Linked DNA regions of Tribolium castaneum. The main gene of each other region encodes a partner of the protein of the gene in region 2 in a complex. Links are inferred from orthologs where the notes say so. Each region holds a gene or a part of one and is shown on either strand. Other genes may lie near its edges. The genes, in order: trafficking protein particle complex subunit 12 and gry.

Region 1 (4,479 bases), on a different chromosome or scaffold from region 2:
TGAAGATATTAACAAAAATACACTAGTGCATAACCATATCACCACCTACATTTTTTTGAAATCTTAGTACTTTTAATAAAATTATTATTATTTTTGCTGTTCCCAAATGCTTGAGCACACTTATAAACCAAAAGTGTAAAAATTAAATTTTGCACAACAGAAGAAATAATAAATAATAATAAATAATAATGTAATTTTTCGAGGGTTTTAGTACTTTTTTCAGCCAAAAAAAAACTCACTTATTTCGCATAAATTCCCTAAAAGAAGTTAATAACACGCCCAAAAAAAAATTACAATATCATGTCGAAAGGGCCTTCCATGGTCGAAAGTTACGCTATTTTCAGCTAAAAACTCGTTCTACAATATTTCCTCTAATACGGCGAAAAGTTTCAAATGACAAAAAAGCTTGAATCGACTTTCTATAACTATTTACTTTATGGAAAAAAATAGAATTTAGAATATGATCATCACCTACCAAATCTGTTAAAATTGTGGATAATTTTTAAAGAATAAAATTTTCCTTTTAGTTTTCTAGTTATGCGAAACCGTATTTATTTGTTTTTAAAGGTAGGACGATTTTTTTGGTTAAAGATTAAAAATTACTTTTAATCCAATAATGTTTTCAAACCAGTGTTTTGCGAAGGTTTTACTCTGAACTTAACCATTAAAAAAATAAATAAATAAAATTTTGCATCACTCGAAAACAAAAGAAATTTCGAAAAATTTTATTCAACAATAATTATCACATTATTAATATACGTTCAATGATTTTTTGTTAAGTAACATAGTTTATTAGAATCTTAGGTAAAGTAGGACAATGTCGAGTTAATTTCGAGTTAAAAAGAAACTTCAGATTAAAGCCAAAAAAAAAACAACTTCGAAATAACCTCTGTTAAGTTAACTTAGAATTTTTGTAACTCAGACCTAAGGTAGTAATTCAAAGAACCGTCATTATTTAACTAATATTAAGTCGAGCATTAAGTTTAGGTAAATTCAGAGTTATTTGACTCTAAAGATAACTCACTATTGAAAATATAACAGGTCTATTGCTAACTTTTTCGAATGCCACTCGAAATTCGGCCGCTTCTTTTTTCTTAGTAATACTTTTTTATTAGGTGTACATTTTTGAAAATAATTGGAACGAATTGGAATAACATGGAATTGTTTTTGTGAATCTACATACACCATTGGCGCTAATACGTAGGGACCAAAAAAAAAACTTTACCATAACATTTGTGGGGTCCAGGAGACTGGCTTGCTGGAAGCAGACATAGGCCTCATCAAACGAATTCTGCGCCACAGCGAGCAACCCCCGATCCACATACTCCCTCAAATCCGTCGTGTTACCCCTCAAAGCCCTTGCTTCATCAAAACAAGTCTCCGCCCCTGCCACGTCGCCCACTTGCAGTCTCAACCTTCCTAACGCCGAATACAACATATGACGTGCCGTCCCATCCCTTAAACCCACCATTAGAAACTTTCTTCCCTCGCCTATTTTTCACCTGTGACACAACTCTTCCATCATCACCATTGCCAATTCATAATCTTTCAAGGCCAGGGCACAATTAACAATAGAGTGCATGACTCGAGTCTCGCGCCCCGTCCAAAGTCGAATCGAATCGGTGCGATCCGACTCACTAATTTCGATAGGGCTGCCGTCCTCGCTCAAGCCCTGTTTCAAGTTATCCAACATTTGTTTTATCGTGGACTTCATACTGTACAGCTTTGTTAACGAGTCTTTGGGTTTACCGCAATGCATTGGCAGTTCGCTTAAGAGTAAACGAAATGAAAATGAAGCGATGGAGCCTGGACGGCCCCCATACATCTCGGGGTAAAACTGTAAAATTGCGGTAAGTGGTCGAAGGTGATTTGTGGCTAGAGACCTGGTAGAAAACGTCCGGCTTGTCGAGCTGACCAAAAGGGGCAGCTTCCGATTGAGCAACTGCAAAGGCTTTGATTTTGACTAGAAGGGCGATACGAGTGAACCACAGCTGTAACGAATGGGGCGAATGTTTGCTAGGATGGCCCGCGCGGCCCCGACCCTGGCCGTAAATGGTTAAAAGTCTCGCAGTTAAATTAATTGCGGCTCGGTATGAACCCGCTTGTACTAACTCTCTCAGTCCCCTTTCGTCCTGCGTTACGTCGCTTTCGGACAAGATACTTCGTTGCGCGGCTTCGGCCTCCCCAAGACACAAGGTGACTGCTTCCCCGATATTGTCCCCCTTTTTAAATAAGTTTAATTTTCCCCCTTTGACTATTTAGCAAACATACCAAATCCTCTTCTAGCAGGACCCCAGGCATGGTGAGGAGCTCCCTGTCTGGAAAATACGTACCGGGGGCTGCCGTGGCGCACGCAATGAGACATTGTCTGGTCCTCTCGCTAGGTATCCAGGCATCTCTCCTGCGGTCTGCTTCCGAGCCTAGTGCCACTCTGGGGCAAAAACCGTCCTAGAAAAATTTACCAAACTGTGGAACACACAATTAGGTCACTCACGTCGTTGTTTGGCGTTATGTCGAGGTTTGATATCAAGCCGTTGGAGGTAACGCTGTGGTTGTTTCCAATTAAATCGAAGAATGACGTCGTCTGATCTTTGGCTTGTGGTGGCGTTTCGGCGAATATTCGACACACTTCTGGTTCGTTTTTCTTAGCACTTGGGAGATTGTCATCTAGTTTAAGATCGGTTATTTTTGTGGAAGCTTCATTTAGTTCTTCGGATAGGTCTATTGTCTTTACTTTATCGTCGGTTTTTTCGCCGAAGTATTGACTCAAGGACGGGGGCACGCTTTCCGACATGTCTAGCAATTATTCACTAAATACCTCGATCTTTACACGAACTTATAATAAATAAATACGACGAAAGTCTGTTTACGTTCGTTTATTGACATTTGCGAGTGACTTTTTTATTAGTGACATTGACATCCACTGTAGCCAATCGTAGAAAAACTTGAAATGGGTTTATGGCGCGAATTTCTATTTCTATTATTAACACCAACGTCGCATTTTCCCTCGAAATTAACTGTTCTAAATTATTCATGCCCTTCAAAAAATTAATAGCTAATGTAATTTATACAATCTGTCTATAAATGAATGTAGGATCGTAGTAGGTTTCAGAAGTTTGCCGTTTTGTTCAAGAAAAAACGAACAATGTTAGTTTTACTGGTACTTTTCAGAAATTTGATAGTAATAAAATAATTAAATGCGGCAAATTTAAATTACAGAACCACCTGAGAGCCAACACTCTTTTATAAACAGTCCGTAGTTTCAATGAGGGATCTAATCTTTAATAACTATTTTACATTTTTATACAGCTTAATTAAAAAGCAACGTCACATTTTACCGAATTATCTTTTTACATAAGACTGATAAAACTGTAAAATAGTTATGAATGCTAAGATCTCTCATTGAAAGAAGAAATTGTATTAGCTATTTATTAGCTTTGTTCGCGGAGGATTTTTAGAACTAATTCTGAAGTAGTCCAGGATTTATTTACAGCGCATGTGCGGTTCTGAACCAGTTATGGATTTTAGTCAACCGCAAACGATAATTTATCGTTGTCAAGTACACAACAAATGTTTAAAAACTAACAAGCTACAAAAATTTGAACAAAGTTAGAAATGAGTTATTCGAAAAACCTAAAACGAAAAGGTATAAATTGTAGAAAACAACCCATTTTCAAATTTACAAACATTATTTTATATACAAATAATTACGATTTAGTAAAGTATTAACTAAATTCCGGTAATCAAAACAGACAGTTTATTTATATTGATTCCAATCTCAAAAATATTCAAAGACATGAGAGTAACAGAGACAAAACCGCTTTCAACTGCGCACGTCTAGAACTAAAAATCCTTCGTCGAGTCCCAGGATCGTTGGGACTAATTCTGAACCGATCCGGGATTCAGCGTACTAGAGCTGGAACTAGTTCAGGATCGCTACCGCGAACAAAGCTGTTATTTTTTTGAAATGCATGAATAATATAACAGCTAATTTTGAGAGAGAATGCGACGTTGGCGTTTTTATATTTTTGAAACAGCTAACAACTGTAGTTTCAAATGTAAATAATATGACAAAATCCAAATAAAAAAATGACTTTATTAATACGTAACAATCACTATCAAGTAGAAACTTATAAATACGATAAATTATTCTTGAAAGGCAAATCCATGACTGTAATTACTTGTTGAAATATTTAAATAGCTAATCCATATACTGATACAATGCAGAACATGGTCTTGTTCTCCCAACGCACGGTGCAGCTCCCATCCGTGTTATTATCCCAATAGCACGAACTAGCGGTGTGCAAACCGGCCCCGTTCTTCTGCATTATGGTACAGGTCACGATGTACTTGTATGGTTTCATCAATTTCGTCAATTCTGATGTGCAACATTCCACGACCGAAGTCGTCCAGTCATTGACTTTATTTTGGGAATATGCGTTGCCTCCTATCACAGTTTCTATCGCGTCTTTAATGATC
Region 2 (3,824 bases):
GTTGTCAAGTCTAGTCTTTAAAAACTTTATAAAACTAATTTGTTTTTTTTAAATAGTTTTAAAATGGTTTTAAGACATGCTCAAAGTGTCTTATAAAACCTGGTGTTAGAGCATTGGGATTGAAAAGGGTTTTATTGCAGGAATAAAGATAAAAGTTTAGATAACTCGTTTTTAAAATTTATGTTTCAATACTGTTATAAGAAATTATTTCTCGGAGCACAAGACTGTATTTATTTTTACGTATTTATTATATTTGTCTTTTATCCCTTTTAAAAACTATTAAAACACGATATCGAGGTAGAAAATTTAGAAACGACGGCCAGCTTTTGATGGAATTTATTAAGGAACTTGTAAAATTTTAACGCCCTTCATAAATACCGAAAATATACACATTTGTAAAAACATTATTTTATAGATATAAAAAATCTGCGTTAATTCTTTAAACTGATTTTTAAAGTGATAACAACTAAGTTTTACTGCTGAGAAAAGAAAAAAAAACAAAAATTATCACAATTTCTTCAAGGTTTAGAAAGTGCGTATTTTTTAATTTTAACTCTAACAGCAGTAAAATATGACTACTAAACGTATAAAACTATATCTTCTATATAAAATTACTTATAAAAAAATTACTCTCAATAAAAGCCAATAAAAACCACTATAAGACAACTTAGACTACAGATAAAGTGCTTTAATTTAATAAAGACTATAAATATTTAGATAAAACATAAAGTGCCATACAGAACCTTTTTAAAACCATTTAGTTTCAAGATGGTTTTATAAGGTAGTATTTAGTTAAATATTTCCCGACAGAAATTATAACTGTGTTCAACGTAGAGTTGGTTTAATTTTCAATTAAATGCTGAGATAATTAATCCATATTTACTTAATTTTGCAGCCCCTGCCTTATAAAATTTTTTTCTTCAAAAAAAATTGGTTCATTCCGAAAATAAGGAAAAATTCACAAACTCTAAGAAAAGACAATTTTTATTGACAGAGGGACTTTTTTTGTTGTACTCATGTACAACTATTAAAAAATTCTAACATCAAACAAATTCTATAAATGTTCGTGCGTTGGAGCCAGCTAAAGACAAGTCAGTAAATATGTATCTGTTTTTAACTTCATTCTTTCGTCGGTTGATTTTCTCTAGAATTTAGTAAATATTTTTTACTTATTTTCATTAGTCTATTTTTGAATAAAATAGAAATTCCAGTTCTACGAATAGTAAAAGTTCCGTAAAAATGCAAGATAGTTCTGAAAACTAAATTAAAAAAAAAAGTTCTTTGTAATGTCACCAAACATGCATCAGATTGTTTAATGTTTCTTTTACCAAGATATCTATTAAAAAATCACCTTATATTTATTTAAAAAAAAATTATTTCAAAAAAAAAAACGTAGCCATTTTTACAACTTTTTTCTATAATAAAGACATTTTTCTGTGCTGTGTACTAATTAGGTTTTTTCTACAATTACTCATCGTGAATTTTCTACTATAACATGAACTGAAACTAAAAATACACTGCTTCTTAAAACTCATTAACTAAACAATAAATAATTAAAGGTAAAAAAATACGACGAAAACTAAAAATGTGATCAATTTATTTAAAAAAAATGCAACCCATCTTCTACTAGATATTTTTTAAATCAAAATCAAAATATTTTTACCGTCTCAGGCTATAGCCTATTTAGCCGTTAGAGCAACCGTTATTTGCCAGAGAATGCCTTTTAACTAATACACGAAACAACGCAGCTCTCAATACTACAGTGAGTGTGTATGAAGCAAATATGTATTTTCTTACAACAAATTATTTATTTATTTATTTTATTTCATTTATTGACCAAATAAGATTGTCTGAGAATAAAAAGTTTTAAAGACGACTACCACCTGGCAATTATAAGAGTATTATAAAACTTTTGTTAAAACTATCTTAGGAATTATGACCTGACCTGACCTGACCAGTTAAGATTGTCTGGAAGTAAAAAGTTTTAAAGACGACTCCAAGGCAATTACAATTAAATAACTGTGATAAATCTCAAGCTGTATAATGTTAAATTGGTTTTATCATTTAGTTTGTGATCTGTAGGAGCTGTTTTACAGCAACTACCTTCACAAACAGCATTTAAATTGTTACTTGGGCTGGCAAAGTCACCAACTCACTTGGATCTCGCTGTTGACGTCGTTCGAGTCGGGTACAAAATCAATAACGAATCGTTTCGTCTCATCCGAGCCGAACTCCAAAGAATTCGAACTCAAATTCTGATTATCAACGGCATATTCGCAATTATACGACGGAGTATTGATCGTGACTGAGACTTTTGTGAAAGTTAGAGGCAGGGGGCTCGAGCATCTTAAACGAATTTATCAAAATTGTAATTTTTACGTTACAATTCAAGTACTTGATATAGACTTCAACCGTAACGTTTTGATCGACTTCGTATTTCGCTTGCATGAAAGTTGCCTTAGTTTCAATGCAAGTCGAGACATTTCCCAAATCGAGCGAGAGGTGAATCGGCTCGGTTTGCAGCTTTGGCTGCCACTGAATTACGGCGTGTTGTAACACATCGGGGGTTAGTTTCTGGTCCCCGAAAGGAATCTGTCTCTAAATTTTTCGTGGAATCGATACTTTTCGTTGCCTCCTTACCTTCAAAATCCTTTGGAGATTCTCATGGATGCGCTTTTTCTGCTCAACGCTCAGCTTACTGTATTTCCCCAAAATTTCAAGACTCAGTAGGACGTAGTCCTGGACGCTTGCCGTCAAATAAGCGCATCTGATTGCCTTCTCTAAAATATCCGTCAAGAGCAGCCACCAGTTTTCCGCCCGAAAATCCCACAGCATGTGGGTAAGGAGACTAATAATAACTGTGTAAATAGAAATCCGTCACTTATGGCAAATATTTACGTCAATGCTTTGCCGAAATCGTGAGAGTTGTAATATTCCTCGGCCATTTGCAGCACCAAGTGGCGCCTCGTCCGAGGGCATCTGTACGTCTTGTATTGCGAAATGGCCAAGCCATAGAGCGAAACGATTGCGTTCTGTTGAAACAAAAATTGTAAATAATGATCGGGGGATTTTGCCACGTACAGAGTGCGCAAATTGCTTTTCCAAATACTGAATTGCCTGGATTCCGTTCGATTCCAGTTGCGGGTCGGGAGGCTCGGCCGATAATTTTCCGGGCCTCCAGGGCCTCTGCCCGTAAAATTCCATACTGTTTGCCCCTTCTAAGGGGTGCGGTTGGGGCAGCGCTATGATGTTCTACAATTGGAGATTCGTTTATTTTAAGCGAAAATATATGGCTTTTGTAGTCGCTTCCTGCGATTTTATGTACTGATAATATTTACATAAACGATAAACTGTGTCAGTAAATGGAAGTCGTAAGTTTGGTTTTGTATGGTTGCCTCCGGAAGCAAAAATTCAACACGCCCACAAAAACTTCAAATAATAATCAATTACAGTGCGATATATTTTAGTTCAAACAGAGAGTTTCGTTTATTTTTGTAGCAATTCGTTATAAGGCTGATGAGTTATGGAGTTGAAAAAGTGTAAACTGGCGGTTCCTTAAACAATAGAATTTGCATTTTGAGCCGGATTTAAAAAAATCACTACAATATTTTTTATAATTAAAACAAACTTTACATCTTTACGCATTTTTTTTCAATAATTCAAATTCGACGAAAGATTGGTTTTGTACTTTTTTCGAGTGTTTGAGTGCAAAAAACCTTATTTGTTATAATTCTGTCAACTTAGATCCTTCATTTTTTATGCGGGGTTATTCTTTGAAAACGGCAAGGGCTTCACAATTTTTACTTATGGCCCCATTTCAGAAA

The links.
Region 1: gry (region 2) and trafficking protein particle complex subunit 12 share a complex: the UniProt entries of both Homo sapiens proteins name them as parts of the multisubunit TRAPP (transport protein particle) complex. The link is inferred for Tribolium castaneum from reciprocal best matches to the Homo sapiens genes TRAPPC11 and TRAPPC12.

What each region holds. Positions count from the first base shown.
Region 1 is NC_087396.1:17,554,118-17,558,596, forward strand, and holds the start of trafficking protein particle complex subunit 12, read right to left. Parts: upstream 2,933-4,479; 5' UTR 2,795-2,932; coding exon 2,495-2,794; intron 2,449-2,494; coding exon 2,272-2,448; intron 2,223-2,271; coding exon 1,884-2,222; intron 1,838-1,883; coding exon 1,503-1,837; intron 1,458-1,502; coding exon 1,226-1,457; intron 1-1,225. Other genes in the region: Dlc90F (dynein light chain Tctex-type), read right to left, coding at 4,194-4,479. UniProt on the Homo sapiens protein: Component of the TRAPP complex, which is involved in endoplasmic reticulum to Golgi apparatus trafficking at a very early stage.
Region 2 is NC_087395.1:23,291,202-23,295,025, reverse strand, and holds part of gry (trafficking protein particle complex subunit 11), read right to left. Parts: intron 3,253-3,824; coding exon 3,082-3,252; intron 3,033-3,081; coding exon 2,899-3,032; intron 2,849-2,898; coding exon 2,641-2,848; intron 2,599-2,640; coding exon 2,396-2,598; intron 2,347-2,395; coding exon 2,157-2,346; intron 1-2,156. UniProt on the Homo sapiens protein: Involved in endoplasmic reticulum to Golgi apparatus trafficking at a very early stage.